3 linked regions of the Ovis aries genome follow. The protein of the gene in region 2 purifies or fractionates together with the protein of the main gene of each other region. This does not show direct contact. Links are inferred from orthologs where the notes say so. Each region holds a gene or a part of one and is shown on either strand. Other genes may lie near its edges.

Region 1 (10,118 bases), on a different chromosome or scaffold from region 2:
CATCTATATGGTCTGGTCTTGAAGGAAGAGCATTCTAGGCAGAGGTACAGACAAGTATAAGGGCTAAGGCAAGAATAAACTTGCCAATTTTGAAGAACAAAAAGAAGGTCGTTGTGACTACAATGATGGTGGTAGATGAGTGTCAGGTAGGCTAGGACCAGACCACATAGGTCCTTTTAGGCCACAGTAACAAGTGTGGGCTCCTCCCACTCCATTTTGTATATTGTTGCCAAATAAGCATTTCAAGATTAAGGACCTTTCAGATACCTCTTCAGCTTAGAAACCTCTCCACATTTTGCAGTACTTTCAAATATCCATAGCATGATATTCAAAGCTCTGCATAATCTAACCTCTACCTACCTCTACAGCCTTTTTTTCATTGTATCCTGTCTATAAAGTTTTGACTTAAATCTGTTCAACCTACTTGTTAGCCCCTGCTCATGCACTGAATATATTTTCATTTCACACCTTCCCTTTAAATTTTTATCAAACTAATATGCATGCATAGACAAATATCAAGAAAATCTTTAACAGCAGTCCTGTTTCATTTCCCTCCTCACCCTGACCCGTGTACATTTTTTAAGCTCATATTACTTCTTGATTTATACATTCTGTAAGTCTTTCAAAAATTTTATTTATTTATGGCTGTGCTGTCTTCATGGCTGTGCACAGGCTTTCTCTAGTTGAGGCGCATGGGCTCAGTAGTTGTGACGCTTGGGCTTAGTTGCTCCAAGGCATATGGGATCTTCCTGGGCCCGAGACTGAATCCATGTCCCCTGCATTGGCAGGTGGATTCTTAACCCTTGGACCACCAGGGAAGCCCTGATTTATGCATTCTAGACATTGTTTATTGATTTCCAATTTTGATGAATTTACCTTTTCTCTACCTCACCTAACTTCTTAGGATTTTGGTACTTAGTATTGACATTTTGACTATGTTTCCAACTTTTCTTTCTGGCATTAATCATTGCCTTGCTCTTGCGTTTGCTTTTTTATATAGTGTACTTATCATTAAGTCTTTCCACATAATCTAATAGCTTCTCAATTCATATTTTACTAACTCAGTTAAATGTACTAGATAACCCATTGGCTTTCTTTTCTGGACCCTTCCATTCCATTGCTCTGGTCTGCACTGCTGGCTGTCTCAGTCTGTGAACAGCTCTCATCCTTGGACTTCTTTGCATTATTCTCTGAATTCTCTTTACCTCTCCTCTGTATTGGATTCCAGTTTCCTCAATAATTTGCTCCTCAATAGTAATAAAACACATCCTTTGGTAGTTTCCCTTGAAAGCATGAGAAATAAAAATTTGGGGTGAACTATTATGGAAAAGAATCTGAAAAAGTATATATATATTAATATGTATAAAACTGAATGACTTTGCTGTACACCTGAAATTAACACATTGTAAACCATCTATATTTCAATAAAAAGTTTTGAAAAAAAGATTAACTGGGGAGAAACTTGAAAAGATGAGAGCAAGTCTTAACAATTTTCCTTCAGAATTCTGAGTCACTCCATTGTCTTCTAGCTTCCAGTGTTGCTATTAAGTGATCAGTCTGATCTCTTAATTTTTCTTAAGCATTTGTACAGGACTTGTTTTTAACTCTCTTTGCAAGTCTTTAGGAAGTACTCTTTATCCCTGGGGGTTCTCAAATTTCTTGGTGATATGCCTTGGTGCTATTCACTGTGCTAGGCATTGGGTGAGCACTTCCCATCTAGTTCAACAATCCTTTCTTGAATTATTTAGTAACATTACTACCATTTTTTCCTGTTGTTTCTGCAACTCCTGCTACATGTTGGACCTTCTGGATTGATCCTTTTTTCTTCATCATCCACTTTATTTTTAAATGATTTTACCTTTTTGCAAGATTAAAAGTATTTCCAAACTTTCCCCTATCTAATCGTACAGGTAAAATATTCACAATTAAAAACTCAGTAAGTATATAAGGATGGACATAGTATAATCTCCCTCCTATTTGGTTTTGTACTCTTCCAGTTTTCCAGTAGGAAAAAAATCATTTACCTATTTTTTTAATTTCTAAGAATTCTTTTGTCCTCCAACTTTTCCTTTTCATAGCATTTATTCAAAGATACATTATCTTCTCTGAGCTTTGAGAATTATAGCATTTTCCTCCCTAAAGTTTTCAGAAAGCTACTTTGTGAATTCCTTAGTTTCAATTTTCTGTTTGTTGTGATCTCTACCTTTCATATTGCAAGTTTCCTCAAATGTCTGCTGCTGCTGCTGCTAAGTCGCTTCAGTCACGTCTGGTGGGCCTTAATGGTCTATTCACATTTAAGAGTGAAATACTAAAAGGCTAATTGTAAATTCTGTCCATGTACAGGGCTTATTAAATAACCAGTTTCACTGTAGGGTGATGAGTGGATTTTTTGAAACAAAAATATATTTGTAGGCCTTTTGTCTGCAATTGTTTTGGCCTTAGGGGCTATGTCAGTTGTGGTGACATTCAGAGCCCTGCCACTCATATACTTTCACTTTATCCCTCATTTTCAATCTAGCCCCTCACTCTCATCCCCACCATGTCTCCTATTAAATCCGGTGGTTCTAAAGGTTTATACTTTCCCTGAGGTTCTGAGATTTCACAGTGCTATTTTTGTTTATTGTGCTGGGCACTCATTGACTCGTCAGTTCTAGAAACTCATGACCTTTGGGTTTAGGAAACCTTTATAAGTAGTTCTTTGAAAATTGCCTCCCCACCATTTCTCCAGAGACTAAAGCTCCTATCTCTTGCAGAGAAGTAGGGGTAGTCACTCGGCTGGATCAGATAAAGGACCTGGGGGGGCTTTTTCTCATACACATCTCTGATTCCCCTCTCCCCCAACCTCAGTTCTCAGCCCCAATCCGTACCCCCTCTCCTGAGCCTCTTCTGGGTTCAGAAGGGCACACTGATTTGCTTCTTGTTAACAATCACCTCAGCAGGTAGAGCCCATCTCATTCTGCTCTGCTAGCTCAACCTTCACCTTCCCATTTACTTTTTTTCCAAAATGTTGATGTCTTTCATTCATTGCTGCCACCTTGTTTTCCTTGTCATAGAGTCATGTGCCTTTTTTGAAAAATTCCTCTGTTGACACTGAAAGGGGTTTTGGAGGGAGTAAAAAGCTCATGTGTTCAATCTGCCATACTCAAGTGGAAACCCATTGCTTTGCTTATAATGTTCTCTTCTACTTTTTTTTTTAAAGCCACTCAGGTGTCACAATCCTGTAAGCCTTCTCCCTAAGCACCCAAACTAGAAGGAATATCTTCCTTCTAAAAAGTTCTACAGGCCACTTCTGATCTCTGCCACCCACTAGGTATAAATTAGAGGTACTCTACAGTTAATTGTACTTAACTGCCCCTATGAGGTCCATCTATAACCTTCACATGCTTTCTAGTCACAAGGTCCTGTATTTGACAAAGAAGTGAAGTGAAGTGAAGTCGCTCAGTCATGTCCGACTCTTTGCAACCCTGTGGACTGTAGCCCACCAGGCTCCTCTGTCCATGGGATTCTCCAGGCAAGAACACTGGAGCGGGTTGCCATTTCCTTCTCCAGGGGATCTTCCCGACCCAGGGATCGAACCCAGAAACTGAGATTTACTGAATAAGAAAAGCAAATTAAGCCAAATCCCAGCCACCCTGTTTCTCCCTCTTCAGAAATACTGAGTAATGCCCCTTCACACTCCTGAACACAGTTCAGTATGCCCTTCCTCAGCTTACTCCTTCTACCCAATTGAAATGAAGAGAGGCAACCATTTTATCTATGTCCAAGAGGGCCACTTGTTACCAGAGACATCTGCCAGAGTTAAGTGTTAACAGAGTGAGGATTATAGGAAAGCAACAAAGAACTCAACAAGATAAGACAGAAGGGCATTTCTCACAGTCCAAGTTAAAGCAGACAATATTGGAACCTGACAAACTCCAGTTCTAGAGTCTAATAACAAATCCTTGCTCTATCACTTACTACTTATGGGACCTCTATGAACTTTAGACTCCTCTCATCGGAAAACGGGGATAAGAGCTACTTCATACGGCTGATGTGAAGATTAACTAAAATAACATATATGAGGGGACAACCCATCTCAGATTCTTCCTCTGTTCTTAAGAATATCCATTGCTGGCCTGAGGTTGTATTTGCATCTGGGGGGAATTTCCCTTCACTGAGACACTGAAAATGGTGAAGGAAAAAGAATTCTGGATGAGGATCAAGTCCTTAACTTTACCCCCCAAAAGTCATGAGACCTTGAACAAATTCCCTTATTTTGAAGATGAAGAGTAGCCCTGTTTCCCTGACAGTGGACGTGGATCAACTGGACAAAGCATGTGATGGACTGGCAGGTGGTTAATGGACTTTACATATGCTTGGTATCATCACCCTCTGAAGAAAAGTGTCTGGACTAGGACTCTCTATGGAACTTGGTTTGGGCACACCACTCCAGGACCACAAATTGGTCCACAAAGGCTGGAAAAGAATCTAGCCCCTCCACTATCATGACCATGGCAATGGTCAACTAGTACCATGGCACCACAGTACCATCTAGTGGACACAACACCCCTCTTCTCCCTCTCCACCAGGTGGTTAAGAAAAAGCTACTACTACATCAAAGGTTCAGAACTCTTTGGTCACCTACATCAATGGCTGATCAATCAGAGTTGGAGAGAAACCAAATATACCCCTCTCTGTTTTTTTAATATTAACAAATACAAGCCGCAGAGAGGGCCAACTGCTCTCTGCTATTCCCTGAGGGGAACCAAAGCACAAAGCTGTTCCTCTGGTCTTCCTCTAACCGCAGGGCCTGCTTAGCTCCTCCTTAGGCAGAGCTGTTATCCAGCCCAACTTCCTTCACGCTCACTCCCCAGTCAGGATGGGAGGCACATGGTTGCTGATGGTGGGAAGAATACTGTAGTTCCAGCCTCTGCTCCAGTCTCAGTTCAGATGGTGGTCACTCATCCTTTTGAACTAGTCTCTCACTTGTCCTGGCCCAGAAACCTTGAGGTTAATCAACAACACCCACAGAAGCAGGCAGTGTGACTTCAGTCATCTTCAGATGACTCCTCTTCTGCCTCTTTTAGCCACTGGATGAACCTTTGCAGCTGTAAGGAAGCAGAGTGGAGAGCTACTGAGGGGCACGCACATAACCCTCCTGTTCTCCTTAGTGGATAAACAACCAGAGGCTCAGGGACCAGCCACCTGGAGTATAGGGCCGGGAGCCAGGGAACCAGACACCCACTGTAGTCAGAGGAAGGCAACCTGACTCACCTGCTGATTCTTGCGCAACTGCTGGCCTTTGTCAGTTACCTCCCTTTGGCTGAACCAGCTCAGAATTGTTTCCTCAGCCAGGATCTCCAGTTGGTAGAAAGCCATCAGTACCTACAGAAGGCCAGCAGAGGCGGTCTCAGGGGCCTTGCAGGGTTCAAGATACAATGGGTAACAGAGGAAGAGGCAGCATGATCTAGTGCCTTCCTACCAGGCCCTCAGCTGCCTCCTATACACTGTGCAGTCTCCTCCAAAACAGACAAGAGTGAGCTGTTCACTCTGATACTGGGACAGGTCTGACTTCTGTAACTGTAGTGCTCCACACATTCCCAGGACAACCTCCAAATGGCTGCCTTACTAGCTTGGCTCCAAGCTGTACTATCTCAGCAATGAGCACAACACTACAGGTAGATGACACTATTAACTAAACTCCACATGGATTCATGTCAGTCTATACTGTGTCTCCATGGAGGTCACCAAAGCCTGTTTCAAAGTAAATGCAAGACTATATGGCTTGGGGTGGTATTCACCTTGGCCATGGAAGTGCTAAGAGCTTCATGCTCCAAAAAGAAGTCCTCAATGGCTGCCAAAGATTCCAAATGATCAGCGGCGCGCTTTATGTAGTTCCTAAAGACAGGGCTCCAGGCCTTGAGCAACTGTAGGAAAGAGGAGAAGCTGCAATATATTCCTGAGCATGTACCTAGACCTGGACAGTAAAGAGAATCAATAATGATAACATAGGTCTTTCAAGACAAGAGGTGGTTGCCTGGTGGTCTAGTGGTAGGATTTGGTATTTTTGCTGCTATGACCTGGGCTCAATCCCTGATGAGGGAACTGAGATCCCGCAAGTCACAAAATTAAAAATTAAAAAAGACGAGATTATACAGGCTTTGTGGAACTATGTCATAGGCACCTGGGAGCTGCTGGAAGGACTGGAGAAAAAGAAATTTCCTAGGGAAGGTGAAGAGGGTCAGATGCTGCAGGCTGCTTCAAAATATCTGTTCCCAGTCTAAATGTTCACCTTATTCTGGGTCAGATCATTTTCAGTCGGAGTACGACAATCCAGTCCATTCTGGGTATGCCTTTGGGGTCTAGTACCATCTGAATACTGGAATCTCAAAGGCCACTCATTACTGAAACTAACTTGACTCCCCTGGACAACCAAACCTGCTCTAGAACCCAATCTGTGTCCAGAGGCAAGGAGAAAGGAACCACAAGTAACACATACCCCATAAGACCTTCTACCCCTGATTTCCTTTAAAGTCAAGCCCCCAAAATGTATACCTGTCTCCACTCAACCCCTTGTACCCAGCCTCAATCTTTGCTTACGGGAATCAACAGGGCACAGTAGCGGTTTGGGTCTAGCGGGGAATCCATTTGTTGCAGTGGGAACTCCAGGACCACATGGCTCAATACTTGCATCACTTCCTTCAGGCTTATGTTGTAGGCATACCTGTGGGGACACTGGGGTGACACCAGGGCCTTCACTGGCCCTTTCAGCATACTGTAGGACTATGACTTTGGCAGGAAATTGGGGAAGAGGAAGTCAGATGCAACATGCAAAGGGAAGATTTTGGAAGGAAGAAGTCTATGCTGAGGCTAGAACAATGTTCTCCCTGTTTCAAATGCTACCAGCCTTGTCCAGTCGCGATGTCAAGGGAACATGTTCCTATTTGGGGAAGAATTAGGAGAGAACCTCCACCACCTAGGATTACCCTGAGAAAATGAGAATAGGGAGAGGCTGCTCTTACTTGAGAGAATTTATCTCCAGGACTAGATTGTCACAAGAAATGTTCTCCTCCTTGCCCCGCTGTAGTGTTCCCAGGACTTCATTCTGAAACACTAAAATCAAAGCAAGAATAAGTTCATGGGCCAATATTGCTCCAGGATGCTTTAAGTCATCCAGTCCTCACTTTATGCCCAACCAAACTGGATGTTCTCCTCCTCTGTCCCAGACACTGCTCCCTTGGCCACGTACCTTTGATGTCATCCATCTGTGGAGAGCCTGCCCGGCTGCCTAGCTCTTCAGAATCCATACTTTGCTCACTTTCAGTTTCACTCTCTTCTTCCATGTTGATTCTGAGTCCTGAGAATCCAGAAGGGGTGAGAAAAAAGAAAACGGAAGAGCCACTGACAGCAATATATCTGCTCTGTCTGCATGAATAAATTAATGAACAAGCAGTCTGATTCTGATCCCCTGCTGAAGAAAATGGCAACTCACTCCAGTATTTTTGCCTGCAGAATCCTATGGATAGAGAAGCCTGGCAGGCTACAGTCCACTGGGCCATAACAGTCAGATATAACTTAGGGACTAAACCACTGCCAGTATGATTCTGAAGTGTTCAAACTCCCTCAAAATAACCTGATTTAGATGGTGGGTGGCAGGAATGAGGCCTAGCTTACCCCATAGATTCTGCCGTAGTTCCTCCTCTTCCTCCATGTTCATGTCTGCAGCTTTCCAGAGGTAGCCCTGGCCTGCAACTCCGACTTCTGCTGGATTGTAACCTGGAAAAGACACTGATCTTTAGCAAGGGCCCAGGAGAAGCACCAACCCCTTAGGAGGAAACACTGGTATTTCTATGGGGCAGAGAGACACACAGATGCCCCACACCTGCTGAGTTTCACACCTTTCAGCTTCACTTTCTCCTTTTCTTGGTCAGCCCCAGAATCATCACTGAACTGACCATCATCATCATCATCCTCTGCATCTGGAGGGTGCAAAGAGATCACCGAGCCCTCAGGCAGCATGATATCTGGGCCTACTACCACCTGGAGGAGAAAAAAGGAGTGGGTGGCATAAATCCATTAATGTGTGGGAAAAGTACTCCCTGCAAAGGAAAGTGACTTTACTAAGTCAAGTAGAAAGCAAATGAAAACACTGGATTGGGAATTTCAATTGAGGCTGGATTTGGTGGACATAAGGCACTTTCTGGCTCAGCATAACCACCACTCAGCTGTGCCATGTGGAGCAGGTCTTACCTGGGAAGTAAGGACACAGTGAGGCTTCAGTGTAACATTTTCCTTGACCTCAGCATTGTCACAGAGCAGAGACTGATGAATCTGTGCTCCAGCAGCAACTCGGACCCCCTGCCACAGGAAGGCCTGGTCCAGCACCACATTATCACCTGGCTCAGGACAGGAAAGACTCCTGGTCACCCATGGCTCCAATTCCAGACCAGGCCACTTTTCAGACCATTTGTGGAGAATGGGGCTGACTGACACCAGCAGAGCTCCCATCCAGCTCTACCACTCCATCCCCAAATTACCATAAATCCCCTCTTCCTCTCTAAGCTCAGGCCAGAGACCAGAACATTGCCCAGCCTGACTACCCTCCACCAGTTTTACAGCAATTTGACTATATACTGAACTTAAGAACCTGAGAACCTTTAAGATTTCTGGAGATCTCTTTCAAGAAACTTATTAGAATCACATTCCTGTCTAAAAGTAGAACCAAATTATTCTACCGCTTTTGTTTTGGTACATTTTAAAGTCAGAATCTTATTGTTCTCTTAATGGGGCAGTTTCATGAGAAGCATCACTTTCTTATAACCAAAGTGAGTTATTAAAGAGTATAAAGAACCCTAAACTTATAATCAGAATCAAGTACCTGCATTGCCTCTTATGAGCCATGACCTTGGAGGGACAACCACTTTTAGCCTTTTTGATTATCTATAAAACTTATCTATAAATAATACCTCACAAGGTTTTTATGAGGATTAAATGAAATAAAGTACACAGAACCCCTTTGTAAACTGCTATGTACTGAACAGGTGTTATTGCATGTTAATTATCCAGTTGGTCCTGAATGTGAATACAGGGTACCCTGGAATGCGAAGAGTCACCCAATAATAGGCTCACAGACCACAAATTTAAAGTATCACTGTTTTTACATCCCTGTTCCTTCCTTTATTAAGGCAGCCACTCTAGTTCCTTATTCTCAGGGACTATCCCTCTGTATCCTTTTCTGAACTCATGGGGTTCCCCCAAGTTCCTGCTCCTAGGATGGCCAGCTTGACCTCCCTACCTATACTCACCAATGTGACAGCCAGGGCCAATGACACTGTTAGTGATGGAGCAATTGCTGCCAATGACAGTGCCAGAACCTAAGAGCACGTTTTCCTCCAGGATGCTGCCATGGCCCAGGCTGACCTCAGGCCCTCGGTAGATGTTATGTCGGGAGTGAGTGCAGCTCTGGGTTGTGCTGTCAGTGAAGTTAGCCTCTGGGGTGAGAGGGTAGACCCATCGGCGGATGACATCTGCGCAGACAGCAGCATACATGTGTAGGTTGGAGACCCGGGCACCATATTCCTTAGTTGTCACATGCATGTGGATCTGGTTTCCTAAGATCTAAATGAGGAGAAAAAAAGGTCACCCAAGCAAGCAAGAGAGAAAGAACATCCCCCAGTATAATTCTCTTCTAACTTCCTTAAATTCCCTACTGCTTCTCAATGTCATAGCCAAGTGGCCTGAGACTTTTTTCTGTACTGCTCCCCCCTCACCTCCAGCTATTTTCCTTCCTCCTACAGCTCAATAAAATATAAGACGGGACCAAAAGTCTCCCCACCTACCCAAGGGAAAACAAAATTTCACATTACGTGTAATGGTGGATAGTCACGTTTTTAGCAATCGATTTGTTGATTTTGAGATTTTTTAACATGTCACGGGTGGTCAGATGGTATTGGGGATCTGACAAAAATGAAAAATGAATCTTCTGTGTGTCAGCAGGGTCTACTGTCCCTGAAGTTGGTTAAAATAAAAAAGCAAATGAAGAAAGAGAGGGAAAAAGGCGGGGTTGGAGGGGTAGGGGTGGGAAACCAAAAGTTATCAGCGTGAGATAATATTACAGCCCTCTTCTAAAGAGGCACTGG
Region 2 (10,916 bases):
TTTTCTTCCCAAGGGATTATTATTCCTGTTTTCTCTTATGAGCCATGCTGCCAATCCATGGAGCGTGTCACCTCAGCTTTAGGAGTGAAGTTGTACACAGGAGATGAAAAATTCTGGAGTGCCACCAACGACAACCCATGTCTTTAGATGAAGAGAGAGCACTGATTACAAATGCTGATCCAGTCACTGCACCTTGCTCTTAAAATGCACCATGAGGGGCTTCCCTGGTGGTCCTGTGGCTAAGATTCTGCATTCCCAATGCAGGGGGTCTGGGTTCCATCGCTGGTCAGGGAACTAGATCCCACATGCTGCAATTAAAGATCCTGGATGCCATAACTAAGACCTGACACAAATAAGTATTTTTTAAAAATGCACCATGACACCATGTATCCAGCTCTCCCCAGCATCCTACAGCCCTGTCTTGTGTGTACACATCCGGTTCTTATCATGAACACTTGCTGGTTTAGTGCCACGGTCAATTAGGAGGCAGGACGCTGCCCACTCTCGTTTTATGAATGAGACTGGGACCCTCCATCTGGAAACCCTGCTCCAAGCCAACCCTGGGAGTGGGTGGGTGAGGAAACGTAACCGTGATAGGGGAGCCGGGCGCTTACCCAACTGCAGCATCAAGGACCACAGTGACAGGGACGTTGAGGTGGCAGAGGGCTTTGGCCATCTTCTTACTGAAAGTAACATTTTGAGAATGTTAGAAAAAGTCCAAGAAAGTCCCTATCATAGAGACTGGTGGTCCAAGAAAGTCCCTATCATAGTCACTTAATTTGGACAATGATAAATCACATTAACTAGAAACTCAGTTAATTTTTTTTTTTAATGTGGACCATATTTGAAGTCTTAAGCCCACACTCCCTGCATTGGAAGCATGGAGTCTTAACTACTGGACCGCCAGGGAAGTCCCCTCAGTTAATGGACTAAGGGGCTGATCTCAAGATTCTGGACTAAGGAAGCATTTGGGTTCTTTAAAAGTATGTATTTTAGGAAAACTGTGCTCTTGGGGCTGTGCAGGGATATGTAAATTCAGAAAAAAAGGGGTTTTATTATGTTCTGGATACATAAGAAATGTAACTACCTATTCCTTGATATAAACCTTTCAGTTTATATCTGATTTAAGTACTAAATAAAACCCCTAGATGCTGTACTGTGACCTACTCCAAATTCATGGTGATTTTTCTTCCAGGAGCAGGGATGGGCAGTGTGAAAGGCAATGCTGATTGACAGACAAATCGGGGACTTCATCTGGCTCCTTTTACAATGGAGTCTCATCCTCAGTTTGCTCATTAAAGGGACTGCTGGGCACATGACCACATAGAAAGATACTTGCCCTGATAAGTCAGGCTGTGACTCTGTAATGTACACACTGAAACGCTTCTTGGCTGCCACGGCAGCTTCCAAGACTCTCAGGACCACTCTGGAGTAGGCGTGCGTTAATATTCTCTGTGGGTAGAGAAAGCTCCGTCATAAGTGTAAACTTCCAACAATCACTCAGACTCTCTGCCACTCCAATGTGTGTTCCTGGTACCCTAAAGCTGCTCTGTATACTTTCACACAAATCAATTGTAATCAGAAAGCAGATCCTTGACAATACACTGAATTTAAGCCCATATATTGATACTTTTTGTTTCTGCCACACCATGCTGCATGTGAGATCATAGTCCCCCAACCAGGGATCAAACCCTTGCCCCTTGCAAGGAAGCTTGGAGTCTTAACCACTGGATGGTCAGGAAGTCCCTATTGATACAATCTAAAAAAGTTTTCTGCCAGAGGAATATATCATGGGTCTCATCTTTTCATAGCAAGTACAGAAGTGGCATCTCCATGTGGTGGTACTCAGATACAAAAGCCTTTCTGTCTGAAGGCTGTTAGGTTCCTTTGGGTTGGTTTCCCTAATTCTAAGACCTAGCCTGCACACTTGGGCCTTCAAGCACCAGGCAGCTGGCATAAAGAGATGCAGAGGCTGGTGGGGCCAGCAGCAGAGTACGAAGGCTGACCTCCGGCTGTTGTCACATGGGGCCCACTGTTGCTGGATCCTCTGATTTTTCTAGAGGAGCTAAAATCCAGTATTTCAGTGTTGACTCATTTTTTAAAACTTTTATACAATTTGGGGATAAACACAACCCAACTATGGACTGGATACAATTTGCAGATACTTAGATGGAATCAAGATGTTCTAAGGAACAGAGTGCAGAGGACAGAGTAAAGCAAGATGGAGGGACCAGCTTCCTGGCTCCTTTCTGGGTCTTGCCTGAGAGCTTGTTAGAAATGCACGTTCTCAGGCCCCACTCGTCTCACTGAACTAGAATGTGCATTTTAATTTATATTTACAAATTTATATTAAAAAAAAATTTTGGCTGTGCTGCATGGCACAGGGGCATCCTAGTTCCCTGACCAGGGATTGAAAGCATGCCCCCTGCATTGGAAGTGCAAAGTTTTCACCCCTGGACTGCCAGAGAAGTCCCAGAATATGCACTTTAGAAGATCTCCAGGTGGTTCACCTGCATGCTTGAATTTAAGCCACTCTGCTCATAATTTACCCTAAATAGCACTGATGCAGGTGGTTACCACACATTAAACTCCACGAGGATGAATGAACCCTGTAGTCCAACTGCTGGGAAGGAGGAGGCCTCGGCGAGAAGCAGTCACCAGCTTGCCTCCACCTGGTCTCAGAATGGCTTTGTTTGAAGCTGGCTTTTGTACCAGTGCCAGTGGCATCTATTACATCATTTATTTAATAACATAATTCAGAGGCCGGGAAGGGAGTAATAAAACAGAGGACAAGATTTCAGAGTCCAGATGCAAGTAAATACTTTTACAATCGGTGGAGGCTTAGTTGGCAGAAAGGATATGTGCTGGTGGAAGAGACGTCATAAAAGTTTCATGACCCCTTTGCTGGGAGACTGACTTAATGTGGTGCTCCTGTCTTTCCTCACTTAGGTTATCAACACCTGGCAGCTTTGCATCTCTGTGACAGCATTTGGAATGACGATGAAGAAATCTCAATCCAGTGCTAACCTTCGGCAGGAAGAAAGTCAGGATGAACCAGTGACAAGAGCTGTGCTGATTTAATTCAGATCAGTTTAGTACATATCCATAAGAAAAAAACACTTCTTTAGTAAGACAGCTTATCAAATTGAGAATCATCCATGCTGTCCCAGGGTTTTCCTCTGCCTCTTTAAAATGACAACTGCCTATGATATAGCAGTAATCCTATACTAATCCTTACAGCAGCCCTATGAGTTAAGTACTATACTTATCCTTATTTGAAAAGATGAGTAAAGTACAGCACAGAGAGCTTAAGTAACTTGTCCAAGATCACACAGCAAGTAAGTGGCAGAGGCGGGATTTTACCCCAGGAGTCTGATGCCAAAGTCCTTGCTCCCGATCACCACCCACGATCATGACGTACTCACCGCCCCATCTTTGATGAAAGTATGGCACAGATCTGCAATTTTACTTCTTGACAGTGATATTCTCCTGAGGAAAATCTCTCCCCGCTCAATCATGATCTTTTTACATTTGGAGTAATCCTAGGGAAAAAAAAAAGAGCAACATGAGGGGAAGGGGAGGATCTAGGTCAAGCTGAGACTACTTGTGGCTAAACACAGAAGCAGAGTTGTGACCTGGGGAGGGCAGGGCTTACAGAGTATTCCAGGGAGGTAAGGCTGATGAAACGCAGGAAGAGCTCCCCGCCCGACGACACGGCCACGGAAGAGTCCACGCCACACAAGGTTTCTATGGCACTGGTGAGATTCGCCCTCAGGCCCTGGATTGTCTCTCCTGGAATGATCACATGAGCAACATGATGTTCATTTCAGTATCACAGCCCCTTGATGGGTCTTTGATTCATTCACTCATTCATTCATTCAGCCAGTGGACTGGGTGTAGGCTGTAGCCAGGCTCTCTGATGGCTCAGCAGATAAAGAATCCGCCTACAATGCAGATGTGGGTTTGATCCCTGGGTCAGGAAGATCCCCTGCAAAAGGAAATGGCAACTCACTCGAGTACTCTTGCCTGGGAAATTCCATGGACAGAGGAGCCTGGCGGGCTATGGTCCATGGGGTCACAAAGAGTTGGACACGACTGAAGCAACTGAGCACACACACTTCCTAGATGCCAGAGATAACATCGGTGAACATGACCAGCCCCTGTTCTGATGAAACTGCCTTTCCTTTCCTTTTCTCTTTTTCTTCTTGGTTGTGCTGCCTGGCTTGCAGGATCTTAGTTCCCCTGATCCCCTTGGCAGTGAAGTGCAGAGTCCTGATCAATGGACTGCCAGGGAATTTCCAGGACTCTCCTTCTACTGGGAGAGGTAGACAGTAAACAAGCACACAAAGAAATAAACAAGTTATTCAGATTGAACTGAGGACAGAAAAAAGCAGAATGATGCAAAAGGTGGAACTACTTCAGACAAGAGTTAACAGGGGATGATCTCTTGGAATGCGGGCCTTTTAAACAGAGACCTGAGTAAGAAAGTATCCAGCTGAGTAAAGATGCAGTGGGCAAAGCCTCAGATGCAGACTATACCAACACAAAGGCCCAAGATGGGAATAAAATTGGTATGAGAAAGGCCAGAGTGAAGCACAGTTCAGCGAGGGACAGCATGGAAGGAAATTAAGTAGTGACAGAAGAGGTCTGCAGGGTGGTGCAGGTAAGGCTTAGATGTTTGGATATTAGTATAAGAATAATGGGAAGATGCTGGAGGTTGTCTTAGAGACATGCATCTCTAGGTCAGCCCTTTAAATTAAAGAATAATTTATTATTTTTATTATTATTTTGTTTATACCCAGATGTTTACATTTGGGATGACTGAATTCGCAGTGCTCACAATGATGATATTAAAGCTAGAATTTATACTAGAACATTCTCTATAGCAACTGCAAAGAATCTGTCACAAGACAGAAGGTTAATAAACACTTGTAAAGCTGAACGATTGCTATAATTTAAGCTTCACAGTTAACCTGGCATAATATGGTCCTTCTTGATTCAAAGTACGCTTCAGAGGCTTCCCTGGCAGTCCAGTGGTTAAAGACTTCGCCTTCCAGTGCAGGGGGTGCTGGTTATCAAACAGCGCCCTGGTTGGGGAGCTAAGATCCTGTATGCTACACAGCCAAAAAACCAACACATAAAACAGAAGCAACATGATAACAAATAAAGACCTTAAAAAAAATGGTTCACATAAAAAAAAATTAAAAAAAAGAGACCCATTTGAGGGCTCTCTCCAAGTTGAAAGGACTGAAATGAAGGGAGAAACTGAGCTTGAGGCTGTATTACCTTATATCAGCACACATCCATCTCTCACTTTCTACAATTTTAACAGTTACAAGCAGACTTTCCTAACACCTGGAACAATGGAGGCAGACCCCCTTTACCTGTATCTCTTCTCAAGTACTCCAGTAAAGTCCGGATGGCAGCTACTGCTGAGGCCATGTCAGGATCTTCTTTTATCTGAGACTTAAAGTATTCGATTAACTCTGGGAAGGGAGAAAAAAGTGATTCAGCGAATTCATTTAGCAGGAGAGACAATCACAGAGCTTATCAATGACTGCTCACTTTAAAAAGCAAACTAATTTAAAAAATAGTTCCTTTGCAGGGTGTTTGGCTTCAGGGACACAGAAAATGTTGATGGGAATAGAGATGACATCACTTTACTATTTGCAAGCTCTTTCTCATTTTGAAAAATCTAGCCCATGTAATATGGAATAAAATTTAAGCTCCACCAAATGATAGTGAAAGGTCATTCTCACCCTTATTCTTGACCCCAAGTCTGCAAAAAATCCCAGAGCCAACCTGCTTACTGATTTCTCCTGCACCCCTCCAGACAGTCTATGCCAAGTCAAGCCTATTCACCTACATATATATGAATGTGATGTAGAAGTCTACTCTGCTTTTTTACATGAAAGGTACTATATACATATTAGTTTGCCCTTGTTCTTAATAAAACAGCTTGATAACCACTCTAGACAGGCACATCAAATACGCCTTTCTTTTGATTCTGGTACCAGATTCAACAGGGCAGGTTCAGGGAGTCTTACTCATAATTCACATATGAAGAAATCAAGACTTCGAAGACCTGCACATTCGTCCGAAATCTCACGTTTTTTGGAAGGCACTGGAAAGCGTGGGCAGAAGGGATGTCTGGGGATACACCCAAGACCCATTCCCTGGATACACGAGCAGCGAGAGGGTTTTAGTTGTGACTAGAGGGACCACATCCGACCAAACCGCCTGAGCTTGAAAACTGACGGAGCCCAGTCTGGGCGTGTGAGGTGGAGGGATCCCTGCGAGGCTCCGTTCTAGGCCCAGCAGGCCCGACGCGTCCCAATTTACCCTTGTTGTCCATGGTGCACTCTGGACCGCGGAGCCTGAGAGGCCCAGAGCCGCACGAGACGCCTGGACTGGTCCCGCCGCCGCGCGGACTCCACACCACACTGACTGACAGCGCGCAGCCACGCTCTACACTCCACTTCCGGCGCTTTGGGGGCGGGGCTGTGGGTAAGGCGCGCGGCGTCTCTTACGTCACTCGGCGGCGCCGGAAGTCGCGGTTTGTACACTTCTGTAGGTCTGCTTGCTTGCAAGTGGCTGTTCGCCGAGGGACTCTGGTCGCCATGGTCTCAGACGGTGAGGGCCGCGCCGGCGGGAGCCGGATCCCGGGACTAAGGAGACTTTGCCCGGCGATGACCTACCAAATGGACTGTATTTTGGGGGCTGGGTGGAGCCTGTTTGTTCTTTAAAGGAGTAGCAAATGTATTCATTCGTTCATTCATTCAGTAAATATTTTGGGAGCGCCTCTTGTGTGCCAGGCGTTATTTCATGCCCTGGGAGATACATAGAGAACATGACAGACTAGCGGAGGGTACAGTCTAGTGAGCGAGACAGACAGTAGGCAAGTAAGTAAAAAATAATTTAGAAGGGTGACAAGAGCTGTGACGACAGTATAAAGTGATGATGGTGTCGATTGTGATTCAGGGATGAAACAGGAGGAGCTGCTTTTCGTATGGGTCCAGAGAAGACTAGTGATATTCAGACTAAGACTTGAGTGACTTTATAAAGGCTCTGTGAAGGCCTTGTGACAAATTGATCAATACATTGCAATGGGAAGACGGAAAGGGGACACCTGCGGGTTGAGGAGGGTGGAGACTTTCGTTTATACATTAAACTACCAGTTACGAAGCTTGATGTCTTAAAGGGAGGAAAAAGAGGCCAGCGTGGTGGGAGCAGGGCGGAATAGAGGGATGAGATCAGAAAGCTAGCTAGCCAGGTGCAGGTCCCTTCTGGGACCAGATCTCTATTTTAAGTGTAATACAAGCCGTTTTAGGGCTCCTAGCAAGAAAGTATTACTGATTTACGATTTTTTTTTTTTTTTTTTTTTTTGCGAGATCTTAGTTCCCTGACCAGGGATCCAACCCATGGCCTCTTGCAATGGAAGCATTGAATCCTAACCACTGGGCTGCCAGGGAATTCCCTGATTTACTGTCTTAAAAGATTACTTTGACTGCTGTGTGGGAAATGGACTGTGGAGAGCAAGAATAGAAATAGGTCCTTTCAGGGGCAGTAACAATTGTCCATGCATCATTTATCTGTTTTAATATCACAACTCTATGAAGGAGGCAGATCTGGTATGGCCCCTGTCTACAAACGAGGAGGTAGAGACCCAAAGAAAGAAATCCACAGGGACATTCCATGTGTATGGATCCACATCTCTCCTGACAGGTGACACTTTGTTTTTCTCAGGCTTGATAGTAGCAAGGACTGTATGGTTCTGAGAATTGGGGAGTGGAACCTGATGGAGATATAAGGCCAAAGGCTTTTGGGCAGAGGACTGAGGGCCTGTGGGAGAGACAGTTATTAACTGACTGTTCTGTGCTAAACACTTTGTTCTGTGATTTACACAACATTCCTGATTCTCTAAGAAGTCCACGATTAAGAGGGCTGAGTGGGGAAGAGAGATCAGAAGCACAGCTAAGTGTAAAATGAGGTCGTGTGTACTGTCATCAGAAGAGAGACAGCACTGTGGGTGTCAGAAGGAGGCAATAGGGCATTGAAAAGCCACAGTGTTTATTTCAGTTTTTTTGTTGGAGTATAATTGCTTTGCAATGTTGGGTTAGTTTCTGCTGTACAACAGCATAGAGTGAATCAGCTATCTGTATACAGATACCTCCTCCTTCGTGGATCTCCCTCCCTCCCAGCCCCAGCCCCCATCTAGGTCATCACAGAGCACTGCGCTGAGCTCCCTGTGCTAAACAGCAGCTTCCCACTAGCTATGTGTTTTACACATGGTAGTGCATATATGTCAGTCCTAATCTCCCAATTCGTCCCCCCCCAACTGTGTCCACATGTGCCTTCTCTATGTCTGTGTCTGTTCTTGCCCTGCAAGTAGGTTCATCTGTGTCATTTTTAGCCACGATCTTTAGAGTCAAGCAGGTCTGTCTTGCAGAGCTGGGTGTTAGCTTTGTTACTTGTTAGCAGGCCATGTGACTTAGAGCAAGTTACTTTCTCTTGCAAAATAGGAATACGATATTTCATCTGATCTAAGACAATATGATTATGAAATATGCTTTTACTTTATTTAATATATCACTAAGAGAAAAAATGTGATCAGTCATAATGGTAGGTACCTTCCTGAGTTCAGCAACTGTCAAATGTTAAAAAAAAAAAAGGAGGGAGTACATCTTATAATTGGTGAAAGATAGCTTCCCTGGTGTCTCATTGGTAAAGAACCCACCTGCCAATGCAGGAGACATGGGTTCAATCTCTGGGTCAGGAAGATTCCCTGTAGAAGGGAATGGCTACCCATTCCAGTGTTCTTGCCTGGAGTATCCCATGGACAGAGGAGCCTGGCAGCTTACAGTCCATGGGGGTCACACAAGAGTCGGACACGACTTAGTTGGACTCAACAACAACAAGCGAAAGATAGCATTAAGTCCCTTTCTGAGCTGTCAGCAATGGGACAGGAAGATAGGATTACATGTTCGAGGTCTGACACAGAAAGGCTGACATTTCCTCTCTTCTGAGATGGGGGAGCCAGGACTTGTTGTTGAATAAGGAGGTAGCAAGTTTTGGGACCTTGGAGAGTAAATAGGATATGGGTATGTAAGCAAGGCATTGCTGCTTTCTGCTATTAAATGAGCATCCTGGGTTTTTTATAACAGTGTATGCTTACTGGTTCATATGTCTGTCACCTCAGAATATAGTCTCCCTGAGGGCTTGCATCCAGTATCCCCAACACCTAACACTGGTAACTCAGTGTAAGTGTTTGTTGAATTAATTAATGTGTTAGCCTGTTTTGTTGTGTCTTTCACTTTGTAGAGAGTAGCTTACTTTTTTCCACAATAAAGTCTTTACACAGCCATTGCTTTTCACTCTGGTTTTTACCTTTTAAAGATTGGTTACTAATTGTAATTGGCCTTGATGGAAGGTGATTTGATGTACCTGGAGCCAGACTGATTCTGCGTCTCCCTTTAAATCTCTCTCCACTCAGCCCTACCCCATGCCTGAAATTCTGCTAGTGGTTCTTAGTGCTGGTCCATCAGTGCCCTCTGTCCTTGACCAGACATCTGTGATGCATGTATCTTTGGGGTCATAAAATGTTTATTGAGCATCCACCCCATGCTAGGCATTGTGTTCAGAGCAGAGAACAAACAGTGACAGAAGAGACAAAAGTCCCACTGCACAGTGTTCATAGTCTACTGCAGGGGTCCCCAACCTCTGGGACCTAATGCCTGATGATCTGAGGTGTAGCTAATGTAACAATAATAGAAATAAAGTGAACAGTAGATGTAGTGCTCTTGAGTCATCCTGGAATGAACCATCACCCCCCTGACACACACAACCTGTGGAAAAAATTGTCTTCCATGAAACCCGTCCCTGGTGCCAAAAAGGCTGGAGGTGGCTATTGCAGTGCATGAGAGGTGTCAATGTGCAGAAGGCAAGCAAGAGCTCTCTAAGGGCCTCCAGAGCTTTAAGTCTAAAAAAAACCTTGATCTTGTGTTCCTTTTATGATGGTAGCTTATATACATAGAAAGGCATGTAGTGGTGCTTGCTTTGGATTTAATTTACAAATTGGAAATGTTAGCTTTGTTTCACTTTTATGAGGCTAATTTTGTTTTGTTAATATTTGCAGAAGATGAATTGAATCTTCTAGTTATCATAGTTGATACCAACCCTATTTGGTGGGGAAAGCAAGCATTAAAGGAGTCTCAGGTAAGGCTGCTTGGGAAGGCTTTTGGATAGTTCTGATTTGACTGAGTATATGTGTATATTGCTTTTTTATTAAGCTATAATTTCATACCATAAAATTCACCCATTATAATGTATAATTCAGTGTTTTTTAGTAAAAATCCCAGTAAAGTTGTATAATCACCACTACTACAATTCCATTTTATAAAACTTCTATTTCCAGAAGGTTCCCTCGTGCTTGTTTGCAGTCGGTCACTGCTTCTACGCCCTAGCTGTTATTGTTTAGTCACTAAGTCATGCCCAACTCTTTGCGACCCCATGGACTGTAGCCCACCAGGCTCCTCTGTCTGTGGGATTTCTCAGGCAAAAATGCTGGAGTGGGTTGCCATTTCTTTCTTCAGAGGAGCTTCATGACCCAGGGATTGAACCTGCATCTCCTGCATTGGCAGGTGTGTCTTTACCACTGAGCCACCTGGGAAGCCCTCCCCCGAGTTGTAGGCAACCACTCATCTGGTTTCCGTCTCTCTGTTGCTTTTTCTGGACATTTCATATATTGATTCCATATAATATATAGTCTTTTTTTTTTTAATACTTTGTATTTTGAAATAGTTATGGAATCACAGGAAATTAAGACTGGTACAGAGAGGTCTGTGTGCTCTGGCTCCAGCTTCCCCCAGTACTAACATCTTCTGTAACTGCAGTACAAAGAGCAAAACCAGGACATT
Region 3 (10,312 bases), on a different chromosome or scaffold from region 2:
TCCTTCCTCTCTTCCACTACTAACTTTGCATTTTATACAAGGAAAAAAACCTGAGGTTCATACAGAGGAAGAATTTTATTAAGCATCATTTAAGTCTTACTCCAAGTTCAGGTTGTTCATAAACCAAGATTTTAGGGCATTCCAAAACATCTTAAAATGGGAAAAGATTCTTTATAACTAGTAACAGAGAAGCTTTCCTTTGAAAATGGAATGTATCTTATATGTCCACTCCTTGCAGGCCTCTGCTTTCTGTAGGACACTGAGAGGGGGCAGGTGACTCTTAGACATTGGTGCAGTGTCCACCCTGCCACAGGCTCACTACTGTGGTCATCCCATCAAGCAGGATACCAAAGCAAGAGAAGGCAGCTTATCTCAGGACTCCAATCATCATGAGAAAACTGCTAGAAATGCTTTCCAAGACTATGTCATTTTTGACATTGAAACCAAGGCCTAGGAATTATTCCTTCCTTTCCCTTTTCTTCCCCTCCCAAAGCTGATCACCTCCCTAGGCTAGGGTGGCCTCCAAAGCCTCCCAGAGACATCAGCGGCCTTGCCTCAAGTGGGTACAAGGGGAGACATACCCTTCCTCCACGGTAACTGAGTTCATGAGAAGACAATTGGTGACAGTCACTCTATCTCTTATGACACATGATGAACCAATGACCGAATGCTTAATGGATGACTTCTCTCCAACCTGTGTATCTGGCCCAATGAGGCTGTCAGCTCCAACCTGTAAAAGGCAAATAAAAATATAAAATATAATACCTTGTCCCCTCATCTCAACCAACTGCAAACCAACCATCCAGATTCCTTGAGCTGGGGTCTAGTGAGATCTTTTCCTAGAGACACTTCAGCAAGAGGGATCATCACCAGTATTTCTCAGGGCCACAAGGTCCCATAATATCTCTGAGACCAACTCAGACTTACACACTCATGCACTTGTGTATACCGAGGTGCTCTCCTGAAGGCAGTGCTCAAGTCAGGGTAAGAAGAGGGACGGAAATGGAAAGATCCTGTGTCTGAGTTCAAAGGCTGTAACGAACTTTTCTTATAGGGTTTGTGTGGCTGGGCTCAGCGCCTGTCTAGGCAGTCTGCTTGAAAGCCTGGACTGGAAGGTAAAATTTTATAACCAGAACCCAGTTTGGGACCTCCCTGGGGCCAGTGATGTTCAGGGCTTGACACCCCAAACCAGCTTCTCAAAGACAAGCCTCAGTGTATCCTGATAGTGCCCCATACCTGCTCTGCCCGAGCCAGCACTTACCATGTGTTTACTGACAATCTGGGCTGATGAGTGAATCAGTGATTCTTCTGGACAGATAACAGGTAGCAATTTGGACACCTTGAGGAAAGAGGTTTGGTCACTAAAGTAAGACCAGAAAACAACTGAAAACATGTTAAGTAGAACCTCGTGTTCAGTTAAGAGATGTGGGGAATTTTTAGCCACTGCCTCCTGTCTGGATGAGGCAGGCTGAGGTATTTCCCCCAAGACAAGGATCATTTATGCAACAGCTTCTATACAGTCTCATCCTCAGTTTCCTAGTTGAGAGCCTCCTCCCTGAAGTACTGCTGTGTCCCTCAACCGGGAGGCTGTGAGACAAGCCTTAGAGACAGTCAGGCAGCATTTGGGAGAGGAGGTCTGACGAGAGCAAGGGGAACCCTGAGGCCTAACCACAGTCACCTTAGGTTCCTGTTCACCTCCTGGACCACAGTGACCATGCAGGAGGGGAGGATGGGAGTAATCTTAGATAACTCCACAATCAGGACACACCCTAAGGAGGCATCCATGTTCTTTACCAACCAAAATAAAATGTCTAAGGGGACATTCACACTATTCTGTTTCCAGTATGAGAAAACTGAAAATGTTATGGGTGTGGAGTGCTTTAGCTCTGGACCCATTAAGGCAGAGATAGTATATCTGTGATTCTCAGTGTGGAGAGAATGCTGGTCAGAGCACTGTGTGTGGCAGACACTCTAACTGAGGGAGGCCTGGCCAGACTGGCTATATTGGTGATATGAAGGCTAATCCCTCTGTCCCTATGCCTGGGATCTCCTCTGTTATACTTCAGCCAATGCCATTCAGGCCTGTCTGACGCACAGCCCCCGCTGACACGCCAGAGGATACTTCTCTGGCCTTAGGCTATCCATCAACTTGCTTTCAGACTAGCCAGACAGACTCTAGTCATAGAACTGAATAAGGAGAACTAAAAGTCAAATTAAGGAAGCCTTTTATATACCTCTAATGCTACACAGGGGCAACTTTCTCCAGGACTGCCCTGGGTAAACATGGGACTAGCTTGGACTTCTTATAAACCCTGTGGCTTGGATTCCATTGACTATAACCAATCCGGTTTAAGGCTAGCTTGAGGTCTGGGTCTGAGACTGTTACTACTACATGGTGTGGGTCCTAAAGATTCTTGAGTCAGATTTTCTTCAGGGATTCAATTCCAATTCCAGTTTTCCCCTCCTCCTGTCCCTGGCACACAATAAAGAGCTCTTGCACACAAGCTGCCTCCTCATTGTTCCCCCTCTTCACCCTTGCCTTAAATAAAACCTGGCGGGCCTTAAGGGCACTGCTTCCCCTTCAGTAGAAGCTACTAATTCTCCACACTTCACAAACCTCAGGGTTAAAAGGATGGGTTAGCAAGACTCTGCATGCTCTAATGCCGTTCTCCAGATTTCTCTCACATAGGCATTCCTCCCTTGATGCTTTGTCATCTGGGTACTCTATACTCTGCTCCTTCACCTTCTAAGGAAAGCCTCCCCTGTGTGCCTGGTTACCTCCCCTGTGTGCCTGGTTACACAGTATTTATCTGCTTGTTTATGAAGTGCTATGGATATCCCCATGCTGAGCAGAATAGGAGAAATCTGTTGAACCCAGAGGCCAGAAGTGAAGCCTTCCCGAGATCTCGGCCTTTCTTTGGAGCCACAGCAGCTCTGCCTCTGCACGATGCCCCTCACTTCCCCTTTTGCTGTACTTGGGTACCCCTATGGTGTCTCCTGACACACCAGGTCTTGCTCAACCTTAGGAATGTGGGATTCTGTACAAGTTACTGTGCACCTAATGAAGAAATAAGACAAAAGGCTCCGATCTGTTCCTGGGAGATGAATCCCCATGATTTCTCTTCTGAACTCATCCTCTCACCTGTCTGTTGGCTTCCATGTAGAGTCCTAGGGTGCTTACTCGAGAGCAGAGCCCCTCTTTCATGATGTGGACATAGCAGCGCACCTGTGATCTGGACAAACCTTCCCAGCTGTCTCCTAGACAGGCGTTCCAGCAGGCATCATAGGGAGCAAGGGTCAGTGTATTGGCTTCTTTTATAAAACTGTAAATATCTTCAGAACCAAAAACAAGCAAGTACATGAGACAGGTAACAGAAAGGATATAGACTCAGTCAAGTTTTGAAGGAGGGTACAGCTCAAATCTCTTCCCCTGCAACTCAACCATGCAGCATGGACCCTGGGGAAATCCCACTAAAACCTGAAAGACTAAGTCAAAGAGCAAAAGAAGCAATGTGCTTTCATGTACATTTGAAATATTATGACACAAAAATGTTTTTAAAAAAGGTCCTGTAAGCAAGTTTGACTGATGATCAAGCACTACTGGGAAGATAAAATAGACTCTGTACACCATGGAGAAACACAAGTGACTGTCCAGGCTTTAGTGTCTAGCCCTATTGGCTTTGTGCTGCTAGCCTCTATTAGCACATCTGGTAGTTGTGCTGTGAGAGAAACAGCACAGGACCTGGGCCCCAGTTTTTCAACTCCTATAACAGTCATTTGAAATCTTTTATGATTAAGAAAATGGGGGCTCAAAAGACTGAAAAATCTGCCTTAGGTCACAGAATTAATAAAAGGTAGAGTCAGATTTCAAACGCAGGTCTGAGATGCTAAGCCCTGATATCTTAACCATCATGCTATACTGTCTCCATTTATTCCTTTGATAAATACATTTTTGGGAACATCTACTATGAGTCCAGGACTGGGCCAGGGACTAGGCAAGGATATGAGAGCAAAGACTGACCTCATCCCTACACCCTTGAAAGGAGAAAGTCTGTTGGCTCTGGTTGGACTGTCATTATACAGCCCTTCACCTTTCCTCCCTTGATAGGAGAGGCTGAGTTTAGTCAGGAGTGGGGCTTCCCAGAGTCAGAGAACAGGAGAACTGAGAAACGGTGGGCAGAGTGCAAAGCCAAAAAGGTCTAGACACGAACATGGCCAAACCAGGCCTGTTAACCAGAGAACAGGCCTGAGGTATGGTTAGCCTGTCCCGGAAGAGCACAGGGACGAGAATCGGCTTGAATAAGCCTGCCCAGAGCTCAGGGAGTGGTGTAAGCTAACCTGGCCTGCCTGTTGGCTAGATGAGAACCTGATGCCTTGAGACAAGCATCTTGGGCTGGGCTAAATTGTCCAGCCACTCTTTCCACAAGTGTCACTACCTGTACCGTACTGCACCAACTCAAGCACTGACCTAAGGATTTCAGCTCCTTTTTCTTTAGATCTTCTTCTTTTTCTTCTTGTCCTTGTTGTGGTGAAGCTGAGGAGAACTGCTTTCTTACTAGGTATGGAATCAGTTCACTCCGGATGGAAGTGATTGACCTAGGGAGAAAGAGTAGCCAAATATCAGAAATCTGATGGTCTGGATTCAATTAGAATAAAAAACTGTGCATCCAAGGAAAAGCCAAATTCCTTCCTGTCATGCCACCTTGGGACCGACAGAGATCAGAAATGGCAAGGGCTTGGCAGTTCTGGAGAAGCAGAGGATCTAAGTTTTCTCAGTTCAGGCTGGAGCTGGACGAGCAGTGTGTTGAATCTGAGATGCCCGTCCCCTGATCTATGCAGAGAACAGTCTCTTACAATTCCTATTTACAAAGTATGTGCCTGAAAGTTTGTATGTGTGTACATATGTCAACATGGTGTCTTGACTATTAACTGACAATAACTCATGAGAAAGCAGAATGCTCTGGCCTTTTGAAAAAAAAGTTGTTTCAAAATATTAAAATTTTTCTACAAAGGCTTTGTATTTTCCATTAGATTAATCAGAGTATCTTAATTTTGGAGGGATTAGTATTATAGATGGTGTCTTTTCAACAATTATTTTCTTCTTATTTGTTAACAGAATCTCATTTTACTATATTTCAACCTTGGGGCCAATTGCCTTGATAAACAATCTTAATATTAATAATTTATTTGTAGATTCTGACAATCATACCAACTATGTAAACAACAATTTTTCTTCTTCCTTGCTAGTTCGTATTTTTCATTATCTTACCATATTGGCTAAGACTTTCAATACACTAATGCTGAACAGAAGCACTAACAGCAGTTCATCCTTACTTATTCTTGATTTTAAAGGGAATTTTTCTTTTTTATCATTTAGACTAATGATTGTTATAATTTTTATCGCCAAAGCCACTATTTGATTGTCCTCTATGTGTAGACATTGGGCTTTGTACTTTATAGCTAATACTTGGCACATGTTATTGGTTTTGTAGATACCCTTTATCCAGTTAAGGAAGATCTCTCTTATTCCTAACTTTGCTAAAAGCTTTCATCAATGAATGGGTATTGAATTTTCTCTTTTTGCATCCATGGAGCTTATCATATTTTCTCCTCTTTTGCTCTGTTATAGTAATGGATTAAAAATTTATCTGATACTAGGACTATTGATGCTTTCGAACTGTGGTGTTGGAGAAGGCTCTTGAGAGTCCCTTGGACTGCAAGGAGATCTAAACCGTCCATTCTAAAGGAGATCAGTCCTGAGTGTTCATTGGAAGGACTGATGCTAAAGCTGAAACTCCAATACTTTGGCCACCTCATGTGAAGAGTTGACTCATTGGAAAAGACCTTGATGCTGGGAGGGATTGGGGGCAGGAGGAGAAGGGGATGACAGAAGATAAGATGGCTGGATGGCATCACTGACTTGATGGACATGAGTTTGAGTAAACCTTGGGAGTTGGTGATAGACAGGGAGGCCTGGTGTGCTGTGATTTATGGGGTCACAAAGAGTCAGAGACAACTGAGTGACTGAACTGAACTGAACCAAGGACTTCCCTGGTGGTCCAGGGGTTAAGAATCCACCTGTCAATACAGGGGACACAAGTTCGATCCCTGGTCCAGGAGGATTCCACATGCCACAGAGCAACTAAGCCTGTGCACCACAACTACTGAGCCCACATGCCACAAGTACTGAAGCCCGCATGCTCTAGGACCTGTGCTCCACAACAAGAGAAGCTACTGCAATGAGAAGCCCATGCACTGCAACTAGACAATAGCCCCTACTTGCCACAACTACAGAAAGCCTGTGTGCAGCAACAAAGACCCAGTACAGCGAATAAATAAATATTAAAAATTTTTTGTGATACTAACAAGTTGAATAACACTATTCAAAAACCATTTATACAATTTCTACTCTATACTCTCTTACAGTAGTAGAATTATGGGTGATTTTTCTATTCTTTATGCAAATTATCAAATTTTATCATTTAAACCATTCTTTATGTTTCTTGTCTTTTGTTTTCTCCTAGATTCTACTCTTACAGATTCTACTACTCTCTTGGTTTGATTCCGGACTCTAGAAATTTAAAATCCATTTTAATGACTAATCCATCCTAATCCATTCAGTATTTCCCACATAGATTTCAGCCTCCATTCTACTGAAGAGTGGGCTCTCTCATATTAATAACAGTTGTACTCATTTACCAAGGCTACCAAAGAATTTTCACAACAAAATCAACTTCAATTTACTTTCATGAAATCAGATCAGTCTAGGACAGCACTTACAGAAAGAAAATCAGACCAAAGATCAATACGCAGAAAAACTTTCAGAAGGCAAGAAATTTCCTATACTATTTTGTATCACTCAGATACAAGCAGTAAGCTACCCTGGCTAAGAGGTTTGGAACTCTTCCATTTGGCCCCTCTGGGTCCCAGGAGGCATGGTGCTTCCCCATGGGTGCTGAACCAGGATGTTTGGTTTAAATGACTAGGAATCTGTAATGGGGAAGAAGGACCTGATCCTTAGTACAGTGAGTATGCTTCTAATTTATACTTAGCAAAGGAACTGCAAGACTACCATATGATTTTTAATTTTCTTTCTCACACTGTGGACCTTTTAGAATTTTAAATCACTGATTAATTACCTTAGAATTTAACAAGACTAGTAATATGCTGTGACTTTGCTAGACCTTGGAAATACACTGTTTCTGACTTCAAAAAATTCATAATCTAGTGGACAGTAACCTGAGTATGGATTTAAGGAAAAGAGTAGAAGGAGATGAAGCTGCTTAAGGAGGCAATGGAGCCAGATCATGAAGGCCTTCTGTGGCAGTCTAGAAAGTTTGGACTGAGACAAGCCAGAGGTAGTTTTTAAGCAGGAAAGTGACATGATGAGTTTTATTTCTTAATGCGGTGATTCTGGTAGCAGTGAAAATAGGCTTGGAATAGGAGAATGAAAAGAGACCAGTTTCAAGACTCTGAAAGATGAGATAACATGGCCTGAGAGAGGGGTTAATGTATGAGAGCCCAATTAATCTAACTGATGCTTCATACTTCCTATCCCCTCTCCCAGCCCCCATTCAAAGAAGTTCTGCAGGCTGACACAGGACCACATAGATGGAGTGTAGGTAGGAAGGCAAGACAGAGGTGGAGGCTGAGGAGGGTAAGCAAAATTACAAACCCTGGAGCTACACAGTTCATGGTTTTTGTCATTTTTAAAGGATCAAGCCAAATACCTTTGAAAAATTCTGTGTAAGCTGGAAGCTCTTGTATTGAATCTCAATGTGATTTTTCTTCTGATCTTTTGATGAAGATTAAAAATTTCCATATGAATACGAAGAATGAAACAACACTTATTCTTAGCTTTTTTCTCCCCTTTTAATACTCCAAGCCAGTGTGGGTAGCAAATGTTCCTTGGCCCCACTCGGGTGGAAAACAAGTCAGTTCCCTTTGAAGAAATGACAAAGCATGGACAGCTGGGGGATTTCAGAGCCATGATGTTTACATTATAGGTCAAACAGAACTGTCCCTGCAAGAGGCAAGCAAACAAGCCTTGGCACATAGCCTCTTTAGACAGAACCCTTTAAGGAGATCAGATAAGGATGTGAGGAGGGGACCTGAAGCATTCCTGCCAGGTCCCACCTGCCTCTGCAGACGCTCAGCAATCAGGTTGATTCTCATAATGCAGTTGGCTTAGCATCATGATGGAGGACAAAATTATACTTCCTGCTTCCTAGTCAAACTAAAAGTAGCTCAAAGCTATACCAAGAAGTGGGAAATGCCACCATGAACCATTCATTGTGAACATCCATTGGGGCTGAAGGCTGGCAGCTGGATCCACTGCCCTGGCCCTTGGCAACCTCACTTTCTCCTTTTCCTTTTCTTTTTTTTTTTTTAAATTTCATATTTATTTATTTGGGTGCACTGGGCCTTAGTTGTGGCATGTGGGATCTAGTTTCCTGAACAGGGATAGAACCCTGGGCCCCTGCATTGAGAGCACAGGGTCTTTAGCCACTGGACTACCAGTGAAATCCCCTCTCCCTTCCCTCTTAGATAGTTTTCCCAGAAACACCTGCCTCATGTCATAAGCTCCTAAGAAATAAAAAATCACAGAGGAGAACAAAAGATTTGACTACTAGCTGCAAACAAGCAACTCCACAAAATAAGCCAAAATTATTTTTACAAATAGAACAAAATATTAATATTCTTCATAGATAGATTAAAATGTTTAAAATTATATAAAAATATTATTTTCTAAAAATTGGCAATATATAACAAAGGTTTTGAAGATATTCATATTATTTTATTTTATAATTCTATTTCTATATATCTGTGCTCAATAAATATATGCTGAAAAATAAAATAATCAGATAATAATACATCTTTGAACAAAAAGATATTATTTAATGTTATTTATAAAAATAACATTATTTATAAAATAGTAAGTTATTAGTTATTAAAAATAACTCAATGTTATTTATAAAAATAGAGAACCACCAAATAGTCAACAATAGAAAAGCAATAAAACACATATGTAATAGAAGAGCATATAGGCAAAACTCAGTAAACAATTTTTTAATGACACAGGAAAATGCTTGTGAAAAAATACTGAACAAAGAAAGCAGAAGGCAGTTATTTATACAGCACAATCTCAAGTGTGTATATGTATATATAAAAATAAATAAAATGATGGAAAGAAATACATTAAAATGTTCAAGGGACCTCAATCCCTGGTCAGGGAACTAAGATCTCTCATGCCACAGGACTTGGCCAAAAAAAAAAAAAGTTACCAACTATCTCAAAGTAGTAGAATTATGAAAGTGTTAAGTTGCTCAGTTGTGTCCGACTCTTTGTGACCCCATGAACTGTAGCCCGCCAGTCTCCTCTGTCCATGGGATTTTCCAGGCAAGAATACTGGAGTGGGTCCAGGCAATCTTCCCAACCTAGGGATTGAACCTGGGTCTCCTGCACTGCAGGTGGATTCTTTACCACCTGAGCTACCAGGGAAGCATGAGTAGAGTTATACGTAGCATTTTTTTTTTTTTCCTTCCTTGCTGCAGGGCAGGCAGGATCTCAGCTCCTGGACCAGGGATTGAACCCATGCCCTTGCAGTGGAAGCATAGAATCTTAACCACTGGACTGCCCGGTAAGTCCCCAATAGGTAGAATTTTTAAAATATTTTCTGAATCTTCCAAATTTCACTGTCATAGGCCATTCATTCCTCACTTCCTGTGGTATCACTTTCTTGATCTGTTTCTATTTTTGATAACTCTTTGTTTCCTCTAAAATATTTGGTGTTTCTCAGGATTTTCCTTTTTGCCTGTATTTTTCTCATGCTATTCGTCTCCCTTAGATAGATCACTTGGTGACTTCTTTACTACTCATTCCTAAATGTAAACCTATAGCCAAGTTCTCTCTTCTTTTTAGTCTCACATTTTCAACAGCCTGATGGACCCTGTCATTTAGGTGACCCACAATACCTTAAACACAAAGTCTCAAACTGAATCCATCATCTTTCTCCCAACCCTTCTCCTACCCCCCACAAACACTGATTACTTTGCTTAGTGATATGGAGATTCATTTAGTCACCCAAGCTAGCAACATGGTAATCATCTTGACTCTTCCTTCCTCCACTCCTCACATACAACCAGTCACCAAACACTGCTGATTTTATCTCCTAAATCTCTTTCAAAACTATGAACTTGCTGCATCTCTACTGCTACTATCTAGTCTAAGCCACTGTCATTATTTGCCTGGACTCCTTCAGCTGCTTTCAATCAGTTTCTTTTCCTCTAGTCTTACCGCATAAAATCTATCC

What was found.
Region 1: the proteins of EIF2B1 (region 2) and EIF2B5 purify together in Homo sapiens (affinity purification with mass spectrometry; 7 studies listed by BioGRID and IntAct, counting the BioPlex papers as one, with this or other methods). This does not show direct contact. The link is inferred for Ovis aries from reciprocal best matches to the Homo sapiens genes EIF2B1 and EIF2B5.
Region 3: the proteins of EIF2B1 (region 2) and EIF2B3 purify together in Homo sapiens (affinity purification with mass spectrometry; 7 studies listed by BioGRID and IntAct, counting the BioPlex papers as one, with this or other methods). This does not show direct contact. The link is inferred for Ovis aries from reciprocal best matches to the Homo sapiens genes EIF2B1 and EIF2B3.

What each region holds. Positions count from the first base shown.
Region 1 is NC_056054.1:203,785,558-203,795,675, forward strand, and holds the end of EIF2B5 (translation initiation factor eIF-2B subunit epsilon), read right to left. Parts: intron 9,598-10,118; coding exon 9,285-9,597; intron 8,376-9,284; coding exon 8,230-8,375; intron 8,020-8,229; coding exon 7,878-8,019; intron 7,756-7,877; coding exon 7,654-7,755; intron 7,337-7,653; coding exon 7,229-7,336; intron 7,093-7,228; coding exon 7,002-7,092; intron 6,704-7,001; coding exon 6,580-6,703; intron 5,907-6,579; coding exon 5,781-5,906; intron 5,365-5,780; coding exon 5,254-5,364; intron 5,088-5,253; coding exon 5,028-5,087; 3' UTR 4,665-5,027; downstream 1-4,664. UniProt on the Homo sapiens protein: Acts as a component of the translation initiation factor 2B (eIF2B) complex, which catalyzes the exchange of GDP for GTP on eukaryotic initiation factor 2 (eIF2) gamma subunit.
Region 2 is NC_056070.1:52,086,766-52,097,681, reverse strand, and holds the start of EIF2B1 (translation initiation factor eIF-2B subunit alpha), read right to left. Parts: upstream 6,484-10,916; 5' UTR 6,356-6,483; coding exon 6,343-6,355; intron 5,487-6,342; coding exon 5,385-5,486; intron 3,793-5,384; coding exon 3,656-3,792; intron 3,543-3,655; coding exon 3,426-3,542; intron 1,453-3,425; coding exon 1,336-1,452; intron 684-1,335; coding exon of another isoform or gene 680-683; coding exon 615-679; intron 1-614. Other genes in the region: GTF2H3 (general transcription factor IIH subunit 3), read left to right, coding at 6,621-6,633, 10,136-10,215.
Region 3 is NC_056054.1:19,544,174-19,554,485, forward strand, and holds part of EIF2B3 (translation initiation factor eIF-2B subunit gamma), read right to left. Parts: intron 4,597-10,312; coding exon 4,469-4,596; intron 3,334-4,468; coding exon 3,143-3,333; intron 1,340-3,142; coding exon 1,262-1,339; intron 731-1,261; coding exon 582-730; intron 1-581. UniProt on the Homo sapiens protein: Acts as a component of the translation initiation factor 2B (eIF2B) complex, which catalyzes the exchange of GDP for GTP on the eukaryotic initiation factor 2 (eIF2) complex gamma subunit.